4 linked regions of the Schizosaccharomyces pombe genome follow. Changing the gene in region 4 together with the main gene of any one other region gives a genetic interaction. Each region holds a gene or a part of one and is shown on either strand. Other genes may lie near its edges. The genes, in order: ppa2, myo2, cdc4 and mob1.

The links.
Region 1: of mob1 (region 4) and ppa2, a mutation in one rescues a mutant of the other (synthetic rescue), as found in Schizosaccharomyces pombe (one study listed by BioGRID).
Region 2: of mob1 (region 4) and myo2, changing one suppresses a phenotype caused by changing the other (phenotypic suppression), as found in Schizosaccharomyces pombe (one study listed by BioGRID).
Region 3: mutations in mob1 (region 4) and cdc4 impair growth when combined (synthetic growth defect), as found in Schizosaccharomyces pombe (one study listed by BioGRID).

The regions. Positions count from the first base shown.
Region 1 is NC_003423.3:2,285,166-2,291,088, forward strand, and holds ppa2 (serine/threonine protein phosphatase PP2A catalytic subunit Ppa2), read left to right. Parts: upstream 1-1,786; 5' UTR 1,787-1,851; coding exon 1,852-1,992; exon of another isoform or gene 1,993-2,153; intron 2,154-2,284; coding exon 2,285-3,112; 3' UTR 3,113-4,206; coding exon of another isoform or gene 4,207-4,893; 3' UTR 4,894-5,280; downstream 5,281-5,923. Other genes in the region: SPOM_SPBC16H5.08C (ATP-binding cassette sub-family F protein), read left to right, coding at 1-1,180; Rieske iron-sulfur protein, ubiquinol-cytochrome-c reductase complex subunit 5, Rip1, read right to left, coding at 4,207-4,893; protein gem8, read right to left, coding at 5,638-5,923. UniProt on the Schizosaccharomyces pombe protein: Essential role in cell cycle control. PP2A may be involved in controlling the entry into mitosis, possibly acting as an inhibitor.
Region 2 is NC_003421.2:1,232,731-1,240,331, reverse strand, and holds myo2 (myosin II heavy chain myo2), read left to right. Parts: upstream 1-2,095; 5' UTR 2,096-2,301; coding exon 2,302-6,882; 3' UTR 6,883-7,101; downstream 7,102-7,601. Other genes in the region: RhoGEF for Rho1, Rgf3, read left to right, coding at 1-947; Smc5-6 complex non-SMC MAGE family subunit Nse3, read right to left, coding at 7,161-7,601. UniProt on the Schizosaccharomyces pombe protein: Required for cell division. It is a component of the cdc12 'spot', a structure thought to mark the site of septation. May work in conjunction with myo3.
Region 3 is NC_003424.3:5,327,318-5,331,572, forward strand, and holds cdc4 (myosin II light chain cdc4), read left to right. Parts: upstream 1-1,870; 5' UTR 1,871-1,900; coding exon 1,901-1,931; intron 1,932-1,983; coding exon 1,984-2,115; intron 2,116-2,188; coding exon 2,189-2,329; intron 2,330-2,395; coding exon 2,396-2,488; intron 2,489-2,560; coding exon 2,561-2,589; 3' UTR 2,590-3,201; coding exon of another isoform or gene 3,202-3,462; 3' UTR 3,463-3,507; downstream 3,508-4,255. Other genes in the region: SPOM_SPAP8A3.07C (phospho-2-dehydro-3-deoxyheptonate aldolase), read right to left, coding at 1-512, 784-792; serine/threonine protein phosphatase PP2A scaffold subunit Paa1, read right to left, coding at 3,202-3,462, 3,508-3,845, 3,901-4,001, 4,063-4,255. UniProt on the Schizosaccharomyces pombe protein: Involved in cytokinesis. Required for the formation and function of the contractile ring.
Region 4 is NC_003423.3:468,865-471,817, reverse strand, and holds mob1 (Sid2-Mob1 kinase complex regulatory subunit Mob1), read left to right. Parts: upstream 1-1,654; 5' UTR 1,655-1,692; coding exon 1,693-1,867; intron 1,868-1,924; coding exon 1,925-2,324; intron 2,325-2,372; coding exon 2,373-2,430; downstream 2,431-2,953. Other genes in the region: mlg1 (1-acylglycerol-3-phosphate acyltransferase), read right to left, coding at 114-1,166. UniProt on the Schizosaccharomyces pombe protein: Has a role in promoting the onset of septum formation during the latter stages of mitosis.

The sequences.
Region 1 (5,923 bases), 1.8 Mb from region 4:
TATGCGTGTTGCACTTTCTCGTGCTCTTTTCATCAAACCCTCTTTGCTTCTTTTGGACGAACCTACCAACCATTTGGACTTAGAAGCCGTTGTTTGGTTGGAGAATTACTTAGCGAAATACGACAAAATTCTTGTTGTCACTTCCCACTCTCAAGATTTCCTCAACAACGTCTGTACCAATATTATTGATTTAACTTCTAAAAAGCAGCTTGTCTACTATGGTGGTAATTTCGACATTTATATGCGTACTAAGGAAGAAAATGAAACCAATCAGATGAAGGCTTACTTAAAACAGCAAGAGGAAATTGCTCATATTAAAAAGTTTATTGCTAGTGCTGGTACCTATGCAAACTTGGTACGCCAAGCCAAGTCGAAACAAAAGATTATCGATAAAATGGAGGCTGCCGGTTTAGTTGAGAAGCCCGAACCTCCTCGTCAATTCAGCTTTGAATTTGATGAAGTTCGCAAATTACCACCACCTATCATTGCTTTTAACGACGTTGCTTTCTCTTATGATGGTAATCTTGATCACGCTTTGTACCGTGACTTGTCCTTTGGTATCGATATGGACTCCCGTGTCGCCATTGTGGGTAAAAATGGTACCGGAAAGTCTACATTGTTGAACTTAATCACTGGGCTTTTGATTCCCATTGAAGGCAATGTCTCTCGTTACAGTGGATTGAAGATGGCTAAATACTCTCAGCACAGTGCCGATCAGCTTCCCTATGACAAGTCTCCACTTGAATACATCATGGATACTTACAAGCCTAAATTTCCCGAGAGAGAACTTCAGCAATGGCGCAGCGTTTTGGGCAAATTCGGTTTGTCTGGTCTTCACCAAACCAGTGAAATCCGTACTTTATCTGATGGCTTGAAAAGCCGTGTTGTGTTTGCAGCACTCGCTTTGGAACAACCCCACATTCTTTTACTTGATGAACCTACGAATCACTTGGATATTACCTCTATTGATGCCCTAGCCAAAGCCATTAACGTATGGACTGGTGGTGTTGTTTTGGTTTCTCACGATTTCCGTCTAATTGGTCAAGTTTCTAAAGAGTTGTGGGAAGTTAAAGACAAGAAGGTTGTGAAATTGGACTGCTCCATTGAGGAATATAAGAAGTCGATGGCCAAAGAAGTTCAATCTCGTGATACTACTGCCAAAGTTAAGCATTTGATTTAGTTAATTTATAGATTTTTGGTTAGGGAATATGTGATACATTTTGAGTAGTGGGATTAATATAAAATGTTTATTACTTATTTGAAAGTGTTTAAGAAGCGTATTGCTTTTGGTCTCATCGTTGTAATTGTCAAGCTCTATCATTGAGTGAAGCTATTAAGCCAAAATTTCATCTCTGTGTACTGTTCAAGAATTGTCGTTAAGTCCGATTTAGAGTGGAATTATCTTTTTCCACCGACTATAGGTAAACTGTACTTCTCAGCATTTATGCGTGAAACTTTATACAGCATCGGTTTTGAAAACTATGTACGCTTCTTCTCGAAAAGACTAATAATAACCCATTCTATTAAAAAATGCCAGTGAGCTCGTAATTTCTCTAGTACCTTAGAAAACGCTACACAGCAATCTCGTGAATTCACATAGTAAGCGCAAACTGTTGAGAAAAATCCAGGTTAGTAATCAATAAATAAGAAATGCAAATATTCTATATTATTAATTGTATACCAGATCGCTATGCTGTTTACACATAAAGTCGATTTGCCATAGCTTGTTAGCAAGCTGATGATACGCAAGAGTAGCCTGTCACCTCTGTAACGGTCTCAACTTACCAAAAGCAACACACGGTTAGAAAGACTTATAACTTGCTTTTTACTATATACAAAATTCCATAATTAATGTCTATAGATCCAGCAAATGATAGTAAGCTTGCTCCGGAGGCGAATGACGCTACTCTAGGAGACGTTGACAGATGGATCGAACAGTTGAAAAAATGCGAGCCTCTGAGCGAAGCTGACGTTGAAATGTTATGCGATAAGGTAAGTGAACACTAAGGAGAGTATATATGTGTATCAGGCTTGGTTGGATATATCCCAACTTTGCAAGTTCTCATTTTCTCTTGATTTCTTGAGATTGTTCAGTTTGATATGTTTGAGTTTGAACTATCCAGCTTATTTCGGTTTGATTTCTAAAAAGATTAATATTACATTAATGTCGGGTTTCTAGAAATCTCATCCTATAAATATATGGTGGTTAAAAATTACGTCGGAGACTCTCATCTATACCAGCATTTTTCGTGTTTTCGCAGTTTTTGCTAACCATTTTTTCTAGGCTCGTGAGGTTTTATGTCAGGAAAATAATGTCCAACCTGTCCGAAATCCAGTTACTGTTTGCGGTGATATTCATGGACAGTTTCATGATCTGATGGAATTATTTAAAATTGGAGGTGATGTGCCTGATATGAACTATCTTTTTATGGGTGACTATGTTGACAGAGGTTATCACAGCGTCGAAACTGTAAGTTTGCTTGTTGCAATGAAGTTACGCTACCCTAACCGAATTACGATTCTTCGAGGAAATCATGAATCTAGACAAATCACTCAAGTTTACGGATTTTATGATGAATGTTTGCGTAAATATGGATCCGCTAATGTTTGGAAACATTTCACAAATTTATTTGACTATTTCCCTTTAACTGCTTTAATTGAAGACCGTATTTTCTGCCTACATGGAGGTCTTTCCCCGAGCATTGATTCATTAGACCATGTACGGACTTTGGATCGTGTACAAGAAGTTCCCCATGAAGGTCCGATGTGTGATTTGCTTTGGTCAGACCCTGATGATAGATGTGGTTGGGGAATTTCTCCTCGTGGTGCCGGATACACCTTCGGACAAGACATTTCTGAGACATTTAATCACGCAAATGGATTAAGTTTAACGGCACGAGCCCATCAGCTAGTTATGGAAGGATTTAATTGGGCACATGATGGAGACGTAGTTACAATTTTTTCTGCCCCAAATTATTGTTATCGCTGTGGTAATCAAGCAGCTATTTTGGAAGTTGATGATACGATGAATCAAGTCTTTTTACAATTCGATCCTGCCCCACGAGAAGGCGAACCGGTAATAGCTCGAAGGACACCAGACTACTTCCTTTAAAAGTTTCAATTCTCTAATGAGTGATCAATCGATTGTGATTGTTTCAAAAAATTTATCCACCTTTCTGATTTTTGAGTTAATACTCAAGATTAAAAAGACTACTTTGTACATCCTCCGCATACGAATCTTCAGACTGTCTTTTCATTTCCAGGACTTGTCAAGTACCTTTTTTGCAAGGAAATCTTAAAATCCTTATATGTATTCCACTTCAAGCCATTGCAACCGTGTCTTATACGTACGTGAAATATTCTTGTTAATTTTGATAAGCACACTAGGATTTTTGGTTGTGGACTTATTTCTTCGAGAAATATCTGCTATTTAATATGTCGTGATAGCGATTAACGACTGCTGCATAGTTGGATGGTATTGTTTTGAGACAATATTATGAGTTAGAATTAGGCATGCTTAAGCAGTCATGTGCTGTAATGAATTAAACATCCTAAAGCTTTATGACCAAACTTTTTAAGCCAGCTTCATGATTCCATATTTGTAGAAGTTTGTCTATAAAGAACTTTTAAAGAAAAAAAATGGTTTATTTGTCTAGATATTTATTTATTATTGATACTTGTCAGATAAACCTACAATAACTACATATTTGAATTGTACAACTTTTTTATTCAAGTATAAGGGGATACTTTTGCATTTCACAAACCTTGAAGGCAAGAAGAGTACTCAAGGATTATATATATTTTTAGCGGTTTAAGAAACTACCACCAAAGGGAAAGTAAAGTTACATTAGACTACGATAAAATAAGAACCATCTGACTTGCATGAATCAGGCGTCACATACAAAATTATTGATTTACGTCTTGGAATAAGAGATTCAAGGTTGCATTAATTGAGAATGAGAAGGGGGTTTGTATCAGTAAATGACTATAACAAGAAAAAGGAAGTCTGCAATTGCCATCTTGACTGCTGTATAAGCCAAATGGACCAACAAAGGCTATGAGAAAGTGCATTGGACAAATAAAAATAAGAAGCAAGTAAGACAGCATATGACTTGATCCCCAACAGGCTAAAGAAGAAGTAAAAGAGAGGGGAGAAAAAGGAGGGAGGAAATCAGCTAGGACAAAAGTTTTTGAGCGAAATAAATTTTATCCGATGATAATTTTGCTTCCTTCAAACGTATAAGCAGGAATCGCCAAGTTAAGAGGTGCAGGACCACGGCGAATACGACCAGAGATATCATAATGAGAACCGTGACAAGGGCAGAACCATCCGCCATAGTCACCAGCTTCGCCAATGGGTACACAACCAAGATGAGTACAGACACCAATCATAACAAGCCACTCGGGTTTTTGAACACGGTCAGAGTCCGCTTGAGGATCCCTAAGAGTGCTAATATCTACAGAATTGGCTTCTTGGATTTCTTCAGGAGTACGATGACGGATAAAAACAGGCTTACCCTGCCATTTGACGACAAGGTTCTTTCCCTCTGGAATTTTCGACAAATCAACCTCGGCCTTCGACATAGCCAACACATCAGCAGATGCAGACCAACTCGCCAAGAAATCATGAACAGTAGCTTGAGCTCCAGCGGCTGTAAGAGCACCCATTGTGCCTACCATGGCATAAGATATAACACGAGAACGATCACCAGTGCTCTTTGTTTGATACTCCGAAAAGTCTGGCATTTCCGGAGAGTCAGTATATGTACGAATAGAGGTAAATTTTGGGATGGTCATCATTGAGCCCTTCAACGACGAAGCAGTGCTTGAAACGGGAAGCAACCGTCTTAACGAAGATGCTAACGACTTAGAAATAAATTGCTTGGCCAGCATTTTTACAACGTTTTAAAGAGAAACAGGTTGTTGAAATATTCGGTGGGTAGCGGTTGGGGAAGAAACGTCAAGCTGCCTCTGGTTTAAAAATGGCGGCGTTTGTGGGTGCTGTGATTTGCTAAGAAGGTTAGTTGTATTTACCGAATTCACCGATTGATGAAACTACATATCCGAAGTTCTCCGAAAAATAACGAAGTACACAATAAAAAATTAACATAATTTTACAGCTACTTTTAACGATCAGTACAGTATAGTGCTAGACTGTGCAGTACATATATCATCACGAATCGAAAATCCTATATCTTTCAAATTCCAATATTATGGTACGCTAGAGATCATTTTGTTTTATCAGATATAATTTTCCAGTCTATTTTACTAGGTTCCGTATAAGAACATAGCTGGATTTACGTTCTTCCGTCCAGCTATAAACTATTTGGAGATTATAATATTATCCAATATTTAGATGTTTACAGTAGTATCATTCATCACTTTACAAGGTACAGCACCTGCATAAAACAATACAACAGTATTAGATTGAAAATTATCGTATTCTTTCACTAGCCTTAATTATTTTAAGGAATTGGTATATATCATTAATCATAGTTCAATGTAGAAGAAATGCAATATACTTATGTATAATGTATTCATGAAGATTGGTGACATTTATTGAATATTAAGCGTATCCTTCATTAATATGCAGGAAATTTTTCTACTCTATTGAACATCATCAATTCATAAAACGTTCTATCCTCGTATTGGTGTTGCCGGCCAATATTTGATAGGTAATGCAGTAAACTTGCGAAAAATATTATCAAGTATTTTTTCTTCCTCTAAAATTTCATAAGCCGAGTAATGGAACTGGTTTTGATATATTTCGATATCTTTCAATTCTTTTAATGAGATTGGTGTTTTTGGGTTGGTTTCTGGTTTGGAAGAAACCATTCTCTCCTTGTCCAGTGCTTTTTGTCTTAATTCTTTTTCTTTTAACAATTGCTCCTTCTCCTTTTTCCACATTAACTCCCTTTTTTCC
Region 2 (7,601 bases), on a different chromosome or scaffold from region 4:
TTGGTGATTCCAGTGACATTCGCGATTGGAAAAAGATCTCTAGTCAAAGACGCGTTACCCAGCTTGGAGTTGTTGAGGAATTTGATATCCTATTAGAGCTACGTGACAAAACCCTTTATGCTCATAAATTAAGTCGTATTATTGAAATGGGTCTGATCGAATCCAAAATTGCAGTTGTCATTGGAACTCCGCATGCCGTATCATTCTTTAAAATAGGTAAATTGTCTGAGGGGGCTTCTGTTAAACGTGAGCGAACTTTGGTTTTTTATAAAGAGGGACTCGGTAATACTACAACCATAATTTGCTGTGAACCAGTGATCGGCTTAGGACATAACTATCAGAAAACATATGCCTTCAAGAGAAAAGATGTTACTTCCTTCAGAACTCTGGATGATTTTCACGTAACGGCTAACTGTCATTCAATTGATTGCTTTAAGTATTCAATTGCTCTTTGTCACAATAAAGGCATTGACGTTCTGCGTTTGGACCCTAAATTAGCAGTTGGTTTTCCAAGCCCTTCAGTGCTTAATGATACGTTGTTTCGGAACCGAATCAACAACAGTAAGCCGCTTGGCGTCTTTCGCATCCACGATCCTAGCTTATTTGCATGCTGCTATCAATTCGGTGCCGTGTTTGTCAATGGAGAGGGTAGTATGGTTAATAAAGAGTGTTGGTTTGATTGGATTGGCAAACCGAACTCTGTTACCAGCTGTCATGGATATCTCATTGCATTTAATGATGAATTTGTCGAAATATGGAACACGCGAACTAGGAAACTTAATCAAATTATCCAAGGAAATGACATTAAATACTACCCTAGTAACAGTGATTGGCTAGCCAATGGGAAATATATAATGTTTGGCATGGTTCATCCTCAGTATCACGATCGCCATTTGATACTCGCTTTAAATAAGGCAAAAACAAACTCCTTCATAATTGAAGATTGATAATTATCATATTTATTACAAGTTTTCTTGCCATGATTGTCTTTTTTACTCATCCATACTTTTGAATATCGGAAACGTTTATCTTATTTTGTTTTACGGAACATCCTGCATCTTTCGAATCATATTTTATCGCAGCCTTGAAATTTTATTTCTTCTTTTTTTTTTTTTTTACATTTCCCTACCCATTTTATCACAAAGGAATATTAAAATCTGCATGCATTAACATTTTTTAATTACTTAAAATGATCGCTACTATCATTATGTTCAGTGTTAAGCCAAAATTGGCTTATTGTACAAGTTGCATAAACTTGCCGACTACAGTTGATGAAAACAGAGAACATTGTTGTTTTTTTACGTAACTGGTTATGGTATTCTGCATGTTTTGATCATAAGTTTAAAGATGTGGTTACACATTGAAGCACCATGCTTTCTTTCAAACACTAACTGAAGCAACTAACATTTCTGTATATTTACTTATTGATTATTACCAGGGCCATAGCTGTAGATGGTCAGTAAGCACATAATAATTACTGATTGCGATTATTAGCTAGAGCGTGTTCTTATAATTATTCAGTAAGAGGCATGATTAGAGTGCTATATATAAAATGTAGATAAATAAATGCCGAGTTTAGTTATTTGCTTTAAAAGTTGTGTTCGGTACGATGAGGAACATATTATTTGCGTATCTAGTCACAAATTACTCATATATCTGTAATAGCGGGAGTTTTTTATACAATCATTTTACCTAAAAGCACGGGGGAACATGAAATTTCGATTAAACCGTAACCCCTAATCCTACGTTCATTTGATGTTTTGAGTATTAGTACAATGTATTTTCAATTATTACTTAATATCTTCAATCTTGATGAAAGTAAAGCTTTAAAAATTTGTCAGGACTTTAATTGCAAAAGACCGAGTATATAATGACCTCCATCTATTAATATTATTTCTTTTAAAAGATATATATACCTTCTTAATTGTGATATTAAAATCATTATGTTATAGGAATGTTTCTGGATGCTACCTTAACCTATACTAAATGTTTTAACGCAAATATGATCAAGTACATAAACGTTCGATTAACGCATGCGTTAATCGAATGTTCAAGTGCTTAAATCATTAATTGCTGTGCGTTCAACGGGGAGTACAAAAAGTATCCAACAACATAGTTCTTTAACGTTTTCTCTGTGCATTTGTTGATCCTTCTTTTCGGATATATCTATTGCTATCTTTTTGGATTTTTTCACTCTTTGATTTTTGGTCTATCCTTATTGTTTTACAAGGTTTTGGTATTGTACACCGCATTGTTTATTTTCAGGAAAGGCGGTAAATAACCGTCTTAGAGAGTAGCCCGATGACAGAAGTAATATCTAATAAAATAACTGCAAAAGATGGTGCAACTAGTCTGAAGGATATTGATGATAAACGATGGGTTTGGATTTCCGACCCAGAGACTGCCTTTACCAAGGCTTGGATTAAAGAGGATCTGCCAGACAAGAAATATGTTGTTCGGTATAATAATTCCAGGGATGAGAAGATCGTTGGTGAGGATGAAATTGATCCGGTGAATCCTGCCAAGTTTGATAGAGTCAATGACATGGCTGAGTTGACATACTTAAACGAGCCTGCAGTCACATACAATCTTGAACAGAGATATCTCTCTGATCAAATTTATACCTATTCTGGGCTCTTTCTCGTTGCGGTCAATCCTTATTGTGGACTACCAATCTATACGAAGGACATCATTCAATTGTACAAAGATAAAACACAAGAGCGCAAGCTACCTCATGTCTTCGCAATCGCGGATTTAGCATACAATAACCTTTTAGAAAATAAGGAAAATCAATCGATTCTTGTAACTGGTGAGTCCGGCGCAGGTAAAACAGAGAATACCAAAAGAATCATCCAATATCTTGCAGCAATTGCTAGCTCGACTACCGTTGGCTCTAGTCAGGTTGAAGAGCAGATCATTAAAACGAATCCTGTGCTCGAATCATTTGGTAATGCTCGTACCGTACGCAACAACAATTCTTCTCGTTTTGGAAAATTCATTAAAGTTGAGTTTTCTTTGAGTGGGGAAATTTCGAATGCCGCCATAGAATGGTATCTTCTTGAAAAATCTCGCGTTGTTCATCAGAACGAGTTTGAAAGAAACTACCATGTTTTTTATCAGCTTTTAAGTGGTGCTGATACTGCTCTCAAGAACAAACTTCTTTTAACCGATAACTGTAATGATTATCGATATTTGAAGGATTCGGTTCACATTATTGATGGAGTTGACGATAAAGAAGAGTTTAAAACTCTTTTAGCTGCTTTTAAAACTCTTGGATTTGACGATAAAGAGAACTTTGATTTATTTAATATACTTTCCATTATTCTACATATGGGAAATATTGATGTCGGTGCTGATCGCTCTGGTATAGCTCGTCTTCTCAATCCTGATGAGATTGACAAGCTCTGTCATTTGCTTGGTGTGTCTCCGGAGTTATTTTCACAAAATCTTGTTCGACCTCGTATTAAAGCAGGCCATGAATGGGTTATCAGCGCTCGAAGTCAAACTCAAGTCATTTCGTCCATTGAAGCATTAGCAAAAGCCATATACGAAAGGAATTTTGGATGGCTGGTAAAGCGACTTAACACTTCCTTGAACCATTCCAATGCCCAAAGCTACTTTATTGGTATTTTAGATATCGCCGGTTTCGAAATCTTTGAGAAAAACAGTTTTGAACAACTTTGCATTAATTACACAAATGAAAAGTTGCAACAATTCTTTAACCATCACATGTTCGTATTGGAGCAAGAAGAATATATGAAAGAAGAAATTGTATGGGATTTCATTGATTTTGGACATGATTTACAGCCGACTATTGATTTAATCGAGAAAGCAAACCCAATAGGTATTCTTTCATGTTTGGATGAAGAATGTGTTATGCCGAAAGCAACTGATGCTACGTTTACTTCTAAACTTGATGCTCTTTGGAGGAACAAGTCGCTAAAATATAAACCTTTTAAGTTTGCCGATCAAGGTTTTATTTTGACTCATTATGCCGCTGATGTTCCTTACAGTACAGAAGGTTGGCTGGAGAAGAACACCGATCCTTTGAATGAAAACGTTGCTAAGTTGCTTGCGCAATCTACTAACAAGCATGTCGCTACACTATTTTCTGATTATCAGGAAACTGAGACTAAAACTGTTAGGGGAAGGACGAAAAAGGGCCTTTTTCGAACTGTTGCTCAAAGGCATAAAGAGCAGCTCAATCAGCTTATGAATCAATTTAACTCGACCCAACCTCACTTTATTCGTTGTATTGTTCCAAACGAAGAAAAGAAAATGCACACCTTTAATAGACCCCTCGTTTTAGGACAACTTCGATGTAATGGTGTTTTGGAAGGAATCAGAATCACAAGGGCTGGTTTTCCTAACCGTTTACCATTTAATGATTTTAGAGTCAGATATGAGATAATGGCGCATTTACCAACAGGTACCTATGTGGAATCTCGACGTGCTTCTGTCATGATTTTGGAGGAGTTGAAAATTGACGAAGCATCTTATCGAATTGGTGTTTCAAAAATATTTTTCAAAGCAGGTGTTTTAGCAGAATTAGAGGAGAGGCGCGTAGCGACTTTACAAAGACTGATGACTATGCTACAAACAAGGATCCGTGGCTTTCTTCAAAGAAAAATTTTTCAAAAGCGATTGAAGGACATACAAGCCATCAAATTACTACAAGCAAATTTGCAAGTGTACAATGAATTTAGAACTTTTCCTTGGGCTAAGTTATTTTTCAATCTAAGGCCCTTATTAAGTAGTACTCAAAATGATAAGCAGCTTAAAAAGCGAGATGCTGAAATCATAGAGCTGAAGTACGAGCTGAAAAAACAACAGAATTCAAAATCTGAGGTAGAGCGTGATCTCGTCGAGACCAACAATTCTTTAACTGCTGTTGAAAATTTGCTTACTACTGAACGTGCGATAGCCCTTGATAAGGAGGAAATATTACGTCGAACACAGGAAAGGCTTGCAAACATAGAAGATTCGTTTAGCGAAACAAAACAGCAAAATGAAAATTTGCAACGAGAGTCAGCGTCATTGAAACAGATTAATAACGAATTAGAAAGTGAGTTACTAGAAAAAACTTCCAAGGTTGAGACTTTGTTATCAGAACAGAACGAACTGAAAGAAAAACTGAGTTTGGAAGAGAAGGATTTGCTAGATACAAAGGGAGAACTTGAGTCTTTACGTGAGAACAATGCAACTGTTTTATCAGAAAAAGCAGAGTTCAATGAACAATGTAAAAGTTTACAGGAAACTATCGTTACCAAGGATGCTGAACTTGATAAACTCACTAAATATATTTCTGACTATAAAACTGAAATTCAAGAAATGAGACTGACAAATCAGAAGATGAATGAAAAGAGTATTCAGCAGGAAGGTTCTTTATCTGAGAGTCTCAAACGAGTCAAAAAATTAGAACGTGAAAATTCTACTCTTATAAGCGACGTCTCTATTTTAAAACAGCAGAAAGAAGAGTTAAGCGTCTTGAAAGGAGTGCAAGAGTTAACAATAAATAACTTAGAAGAGAAGGTTAATTATTTGGAAGCCGATGTCAAACAGCTTCCGAAATTGAAGAAAGAACTAGAATCCTTGAATGACAAAGATCAACTTTATCAGCTCCAGGCTACCAAAAATAAAGAACTGGAAGCCAAAGTTAAAGAATGTTTAAATAACATCAAATCGTTAACGAAAGAGCTTGAAAATAAGGAAGAGAAATGCCAAAATTTGTCAGATGCTTCTTTAAAGTACATTGAATTGCAAGAAATCCATGAGAATTTACTTCTTAAAGTTAGCGACTTGGAGAATTACAAGAAAAAATATGAAGGACTTCAGCTGGACTTGGAGGGGTTAAAAGACGTCGATACAAACTTTCAGGAACTTTCGAAAAAACATCGTGATTTGACCTTTAATCATGAAAGTCTTCTTCGGCAATCGGCGTCCTACAAGGAAAAGCTTTCGTTGGCGAGCTCCGAGAATAAAGATCTCTCTAATAAGGTATCGAGTTTGACGAAGCAAGTAAATGAACTTTCTCCAAAAGCATCTAAGGTTCCCGAACTTGAGAGGAAGATTACTAACTTAATGCACGAGTACAGTCAACTCGGTAAGACCTTTGAAGATGAAAAGCGTAAAGCATTGATAGCTAGTCGAGATAACGAAGAATTACGCTCTTTGAAATCAGAGTTGGAGAGTAAACGAAAGCTTGAAGTTGAGTATCAAAAGGTACTAGAAGAAGTAAAAACAACTAGAAGCCTCCGTTCGGAAGTCACCCTTTTAAGGAACAAAGTTGCTGATCATGAAAGTATACGTAGTAAGCTTTCAGAAGTAGAAATGAAGCTGGTTGATACTCGAAAGGAACTGAATTCTGCTCTTGATTCCTGCAAGAAGCGAGAGGCAGAGATACATCGCCTTAAAGAACATAGACCGTCCGGAAAGGAGAATAATATACCGGCTGTCAAAACTACGGAACCCGTTTTGAAAAATATTCCACAACGAAAGACAATTTTTGATTTACAGCAAAGAAATGCAAATCAAGCGTTATACGAGAACTTGAAACGAGACTACGACCGTCTTAATCTTGAGAAGCACAACTTAGAGAAGCAAGTTAATGAGTTAAAAGGGGCCGAAGTATCACCTCAACCTACTGGCCAATCTTTGCAACATGTCAACTTGGCTCATGCTATTGAATTGAAAGCTCTGAAGGATCAAATAAATAGCGAAAAGGCAAAAATGTTTTCCGTTCAAGTACAATATGAAAAACGTGAGCAGGAGTTACAAAAACGAATTGCTTCTTTGGAAAAAGTGAACAAAGATTCGTTAATAGATGTGAGAGCTTTACGAGATCGCATTGCAAGCCTTGAAGATGAGTTGCGCGCCGCATGAAGTTAAATGATTTTGTAATGATGAAACCTTTATTAATTATATTATATATACTGACATATACTTCTCTTATAAGTTTACGAGCTATTTTTTTATTTTTTTTATTTAACAGCTGTACATAATATTCCCGCTATATAACCAAATATACATCTTAAATTTATATCGAGATATTAGCACGCATATAGGAACTTAAATAATATTACGAATTTTTTTGTAGTAGCGGAGTAAGTATACAATAGCATTAACATGAGACGAGCATAATGTAAAAACCTAAGAGTCATCTATGCTGCACTTGAGGAAGATTGATTCTGATACTCCTGCCGATATTCGGTTAATAGAGCATCCATATCAATGTCTGAATCCGGAAAGAACTCTGTAACGAATGATTTCAAGCCTTCAATAGAAATTTCAGTTACTGCACGGGATCCAATATAATAAACAAACTGGTTATGGGTATCATCTTTCACTCTATCTAAATACCCTTGGCGAACTAAAAGAGATAACGAGCGAGTAATATCCAGATGCAAAGGGGTTGTTTCTTCCTCTGTTAGAAGTTCCTGCAAAAAAGATTGCAGTTCTGAATGTCCTACACTGCAATGAGAAACGGCTATGAATGCGATCACAGTCATCAAAAATCCATAATAAGCAGTATCCAATACCGAATCTACAATTAAGCGAGAATCCTTTTGAAGTTCCATAGGAAGGGTAGACCTCAACACCCA
Region 3 (4,255 bases), on a different chromosome or scaffold from region 4:
ATAGCACCAAAACTGAGTAAGTCGGCGAAGAATTGGGGAGAAATGTTGTCCAACATCTCACTGGCCAAAGGAATGCCAAAATTGGTAACGTCGCAATACATTTGACGAGCCATCCTAATACCCTTGTTGATAGCAAAAGAACCATCCAAGTTAGGGTCGTTGACCAAACCCTTCCATCCGATAGTAGTACGGGGCTTCTCCAAATAACAACGCATGACAACGCACAAAGCATCCTGAAGCTCGTCAGCTTTGGGCTTCAGCAACTTAGCATAGTCCATGGCCAATTTAGGGTCATGAATGGAGCAAGGACCGACAACAACGATAATTCTGTCATCTTGTTTGTTGAGAATAGCTTGAATCTCCTTTCTGGAGTCAGTGATGACTTTGCGAGAAGTTTCAGAAACAGGAATCTCTTGTTGAACCAAAGCGGCAGGAACCAAAGGGTTGTAACCTAAGACACGGTTGTCATCAAGATGCTCTTGATCGTAAGTTTCACCGCTGGGTAAAAAAACCTAATTGAATAATGTTAGCAAATTGACATTAAAAAAAAAGACCAAACATGCTGGACATAGCAATCAACATAAAGCAATAAAAATTTCAAAAAAAAGAAACAAAAAAATTTAAAATTTCAATTGCCTAAAAATTCATCAGCAAAAACAAATTTGTTATCCGCATAGTAAAATCTACTATATAACTCAATAAGATAACTTTCAGTACTGTTTCTCCGACTGATGAAAATTTTTACTAGCAAAATTCTTTGGATGCCCAATTGGGGTTACTTACCGGAGACATGGCTTATTAAATAGAATTAATAAATTTAGGTCAAAGAGTGCTTCCTAAGTTGTTGAATGCCAAGTAAGTAAACACTATTAAAGGTCCTTTACTACGACGAAGGTTGGTTCTGTCTGAGTTCGAAGCAGCGCCAACGAAAAATATATGTAGTCCAGTAATAAGATGATCCAGTGATAATGGCTCTAAGTCATCGGAACTGCGAAACAAGTAGTAGGCAATTTCTGGACATCATCGCTTAAAAATTTGTTCAAATTTATAAGTCCTTTGTTTTGTATCAATTTCTAGATTTCACTTGCTATTTAATTACTTGAAAGTAAATTGAAGGTTGAGCGTAAAAACATAAAATAAAGCCTTTTTTCGGTTTCTTATTAATTCATAAATTAATGTTAAAAGGGATTGATATATAATATTTAATAATTACGTTTCCTACAATGTTTACTGTCATGTACCACTGGGATATGAGAATATATACATTGCTTATCAAAATACTTATTTCCAAGATTCGCTCAATTATATAAACCACGCATTAAAGCAACATATAAAAACATATTGATTCGTTTATTTTACTTTTACTCAATGCATATTTTGTGAGCCCGAAAATTTAGATATACCATCTGTGACTGCCTTTTTGGTACACAAACGCCGAAAATTAGAAGTCTGGTGGACAGCGTTGGCTTTCCGGTAGATTAGTCTTTTGAGGTTAACAAGTTAATGATATCTGATATTCTGATGTGATTATTGAATTTATGAAGTGCATCAGTACTGTATTTCTCGTGTTCCGGTGACTCTCGTATTTTGTATTGCACTAGAAATAGTGAAATCGCCAGCCATTTCATAATTTATCAAGTAGCTCGACATTAGTATGACTATTCATATTCTGTATACGAATGATGTTCTAAATTAAAATCTGGCAAAGTAAATGACAATTCTGTTCATATAAGCTGGTTTACATAGCTCTACGTTCTTTAGTAAATTACTAAACAGATCGCTATACAGTAAACATTATCATGGCAACGGTTGCTATGGGGCTTATAGGTGCGTGTACACAGATTACAGTCGACTTAGTACACTTACCTTCATCCTAACAATCCATTTAGAATAGTCAAACATGTCGACAGACGATTCACCTTATAAACAAGGTAATAACTACTTTTTGAAATCATTTCAAAATGTTTATTAACGAAAAGATAGCTTTTTCTTTATTTGACCGCCATGGAACTGGTCGCATCCCCAAAACGTCCATTGGTGATCTTTTAAGAGCGTGTGGACAAAATCCTACGCTGGCTGAGATTACTGAAATTGAATCTACTTTGCCCGCAGAAGGTATGATTTCTTGTTATGGGTTTGGAGAGTTATACTCCTTAGCCGTGCATTAAGTGACAATACTAATTGGTAGTCGATATGGAACAATTCCTTCAAGTGTTAAATCGTCCCAATGGGTTTGATATGCCTGGTGACCCAGAGGAATTCGTGAAGGGCTTCCAGGTGTTTGATAAAGATGCCACTGGCATGATTGGAGTGGGTGAATTGCGCTATGGTATGTATTTATAGAGATCTATCCTTTTTTCAGATTGATAAAAAAATGCGAAACTAATTGTATCAGTTTTAACTTCTTTGGGTGAAAAACTCAGCAACGAAGAAATGGACGAGTTATTAAAGGGTGTTCCCGTAAAAGATGGCATGGTTAATTATCACGGTATGCTCTATTACTACTCTGGGCTTCGGCAATCAACTACCTATACTTAATTATACTAACTGCTTCCTTTAGATTTCGTTCAAATGATTCTTGCCAATTAATTAAATCTACATAGTTTGCATAATTTACCCGGCATATGTTTCTCCTTTATTATTTACACCTTTATTTCAATTTTATGTCTTCAATAGTTTACTTTCGTTCAGCTTTTCCATCTGATACACTTGGGACTATGAAGCAATATGTTCCTGAATACAGATAACTGGACTTTTCGATACTCGCAGGAATTTCTACACATATCGTTTAGCATACGGAAATAGAGATATCCTTCTATATTCGTATATTTATGAATATGATTAACAACCATTTGTTATCTCATGCAAATGACCTTATATCTCAGCTGCTTAAATTGTTTGAATCTCTCCAGATGTAAATATAAGTTTTCATTCAAAATTACACTTTTCGTAAGTAATTACGGTTGATGCCAGCTTTCTTGATGCATTCGGCTCCAATTTTGCCATATCGTGTATATCTTGTATATCTAATTTACTGTGTGTCAATACGATGCTTTGAATTAGATGTAGGGCTTGACACTTGATGTCGAACGAATGGCCAGAGTCAAGACAGTCCATTCTTTTGCATTTTTACATAGTGAACACAAATCATAAAGGTAAAACTTTTGGCTCATTTAGACATGCAATCATATAACCCAACAATTAGTCATTTGTTTGCTCTAAGGCCTGAGTAGCAAAATATTGAACATCAGGGTCATTATCTTTTGTAAGTTGTTCGAGCAATGGGATGATTTGCTGTTCATATACGGTCGAGTCACCACCAGCTGCCAAAACAGGCTTAAGAACTTCAAACGCCTTGGCAACGTTAAAGCGAATATTAGGAATAGGGTCATTAACCAACTGTTCCAAAGTTGGAAGAATTTGTTTTTCAATTACTTCAGCATTCAATGCAGGTGCGATTTCCTAAAATACGTTAGAACTGGAAAAAAGCAAAAAAGAAAAACTTACACTGATCGCAAAAATAGTTGTCATTCGGTATAAATAATTTGGATGGCTTCGCATAGCCAAAAACTTTGGAATAATTGTCTCAGTTGCCCATTCCAACCCAAAAATTTCCGTAAGTTTTCGCAAATTCTTTATCGCAGCTTCACGAATAGAATATACATGGTCCTCTAACCATGACATACATAAATTGCCCATTTTCTCATTAAAAAATTCGACCCCAAGCTGCTGAGCAAGTAGTGGAATGTAGTCAATGATAGCAAGACGAACACGCCATTGTTTATCTTCAGCAAGTGTAACAATTGCAGGCAATAAAGATTGTGAAAGTAATTCGATACCAACGACTAAAGTGAGTTAGTATAACTGTAGCAATAGCTATATTTTGAATTTGCAATTTACCTTTGTTTACAACTTCCAATTTCGAAATAATGTTAAGACGAACTTCAGGGTTTTCATCTTTAAGTAATTCCAAAAACATTGGTAAAAGATACTCTGTAGTCCTAAATATAACGATTAGTAAAATGAGGTTTTTAAAAGAAAAGTTATTTTTAGCAGACATACTTTTCCTTTCCTAATTGTGGGGCGAGAGCACCTATGTTCATCCCTAAAGCAGCACGGACATGTTGAGCGGGATCATTAATTAACTCTTGAATAACTGGAATAATCTCTTCAAGAACAATTCGCTTATCCAACAATTCGCAAAATCCTGGTATTTGAGTAGCAATAGCACGGCGGACTTCCTGCTCGGTATCCT
Region 4 (2,953 bases):
ATCTGTTAAAAAATGTTCATGAAAATCAGTTAATCTATGTAGTGTAAATGGGTAACTTTTCAACCATATGGTTTAGGGAAATGGAAAGAAATGGGTATAAATAACAGTTTTTTCTAGTGAGAAATGAATAGTTTGAGGAACAACCCAGCAACAATGCACGTGAAAAGTACGGAAAACAAAGAAAGAATTTCAAGTCTGTGCTTCAATCGAACAGTCGTATGCAATTTCTTAGGGCCCGGAAAATTCCCTGTTTCAAGAAGCGTATCGATAAGTTTATCTTTCTCATACCATCTTTGATAAAGCCAATCCGTAAACTGATCTTCTTCAGTGGGAATTTCCGAAATTGGGAAGCGACGAACGTGAATATGAAGCCTTTTGATGGGGACTCCTTCAAAAAAGAGCTTAGGTAAAGAGAAAGCATCGGCGGCATATTTCTTAGGAGAGGGATCAGAAAAATAAAATGTGTAATCGTACAAATAAGTCATCGAATCACGAAGCTGACTGATACTATAAAAGAGCCCTCGCACACGTGGGAGCATTAAATGCTTTGGCATTTTGACTCCAATTTTATCGGCATACACCCTGCTCCTTTGATATGTGCTTTCAACCAAGTTGGTTCCTTCTGGGAAGAGAATGAGACTGACGGAATCACGTACATTGCGAATGAACTTGAAATGACGAGACATAGTCTCGTAGTCTTTGTCCCATTTGCGAGAAAGGAAAATGAATCTAAACAATTGCATACCCCAACCTATAACTGGCAACCATTTGAGAGAGTTTTTTAACATAATATAAACATGACCATGCTGTTTAGCAGTGTACGATAACCACCAAACGTACATCCAGTCCGAGTAAAGTTGATGGTTTGCGATAACTATGTTGCGTTCAGCAGCAATTGTTTCCAAGCAACCATTTCTATCCAAATAAAACAAATTTCGAAGCTCGGGATCATAGGTGAGAGTTACAGGAGTCGGACTAAAAAGCTGGACCAAAGCGGTAAACAGAATACCGGCGAATGATTTTGTAAAAGCAATATATTTGTTATAAAGCTCCTTGTTGACAAAATACAGAGGAGTTCCAATAACTTCCGAGGTATAAATGGTAACTGAACCAACAGCCAAACATAATATGAATGAATACTTGCGAATCGCAATTCTGCATGTCATGTTGTCAAACCTAAATGAATTAAAGGAACCTAAATCAAATCTCAAGAAATAAAAGACTGTTAAATAGAATCCAGAGAAAGTTAGCAAAGTCGGTTTTAGTGATGCCCTTTCGCGTTTCTCACCGCACAGTAAAAGTCGTACACGAACACTAAATAGACACCAATTTGAGCAAAAAAAATCCCAAAAAGAAAATTAAAAGCTCTCTGCTTTCTTTTTAATTTCTTAGCCGCACGTTTAGCACCAAAGTGTAATTCAGGGAATGTCAGTGGTTATAGGCAGTGGGTAAAGAAGTAGCGATCGTACGTTGTCAATTTGTAAAAGTGCTCGGACCTAAACATACGGTCGTATGAATATGATAGGTATTCCAGTAATTAATTTGCGCTTAATATTGGTTGGCTGGATGGTCTTGAAAGTTGAACGGTAGAATGACCACGTTTGTTTACGAGGAAGGGACGATGAGTGGAAGGTTGGCACAAACCAAGCCTACCAGAACCCAACTCATACCAACTTTTTTGCATTTTCTTTCATGTTTGGATTTAGTAATAAGACAGCGAAGACATTCCGTGTAAGGAAGACTGAAGCGGGAACGAAGCATTATCAACTACGGCAATATGCTGAAGCAACGCTGGGATCTGGCTCTTTGATGGAAGCAGTAAAACTGCCCAAGGGAGAAGATTTGAATGAATGGATTGCTATGAACAGTAAGCTAAGATATAAAATTGACACTTCAAGAACTTTTATTAATTGAATACTTCTAGCAATGGATTTTTATACACAAATTAATATGTTGTATGGTACAATCACTGAATTTTGTACGGCGGCTTCCTGTCCTCAAATGAATGCTGGACCAAGTTATGAATATTACTGGCAGGATGATAAAATATACACCAAACCCACTCGCATGAGTGCTCCCGACTATATTAACAATCTGTTGGATTGGACTCAAGAAAAGTTGGATGACAAGAAGCTCTTCCCCACTGAGATTGGTGTTGAATTCCCAAAGAATTTTCGCAAAGTGATTCAGCAAATATTTCGAAGGTTGTTTCGCATTTATGCTCATATTTACTGTTCCCACTTTCACGTAATGGTAGCAATGGAGCTTGAAAGCTATCTGAATACATCATTTAAACACTTTGTATTTTTCTGTAGGGAATTTGGGTATGTGTTTCAATTTACTTACTTAAAGATGTTAACAACAAATTTCAGCCTTATGGATAACAAGGAATATGCACCAATGCAAGACTTGGTAGATAGCATGGTTTAAGAACAGTTTTGTAGTTATTCAGGAACAGGAAATGGGAGGTAAACTCGGTTCCCAAACTTACCAATTTAATGTTTTATTTTATCCCTACCATTACCATTTTATCCAGACCTTAGCACAATTTTTTATGGAAAATTTCTTCTTTTCATTTCAATCATTCACTTGAGTGATTACCATAAAGAATAGTTGCTAAAATTACTCTTTCTACTCCTCCACTTTTTTCTTATGACACTGCATTCTTTTAACTACTTTTGAAAAGTGTGGCATATCGCCTTTGCATAGGCTACTTGTGCAAAATATTCTCGCATTCTCTAAAGTGTCTATCTTCATACAATTCATTTTATTTATAACATTTCATGTATCATATGTCTCTGGAATCTTTATTTCAGGTTTCTGTTAAATACCGAAAAAGACTGCATCGTTATTTGAGAAACTACTTACTGAATGGTGGTGGATGTGAGATAGTAAATGTGCGAAATAATCTGAACTTTTTAATTCCCTATTATTTTAGTCTTTTTGCTTTTCA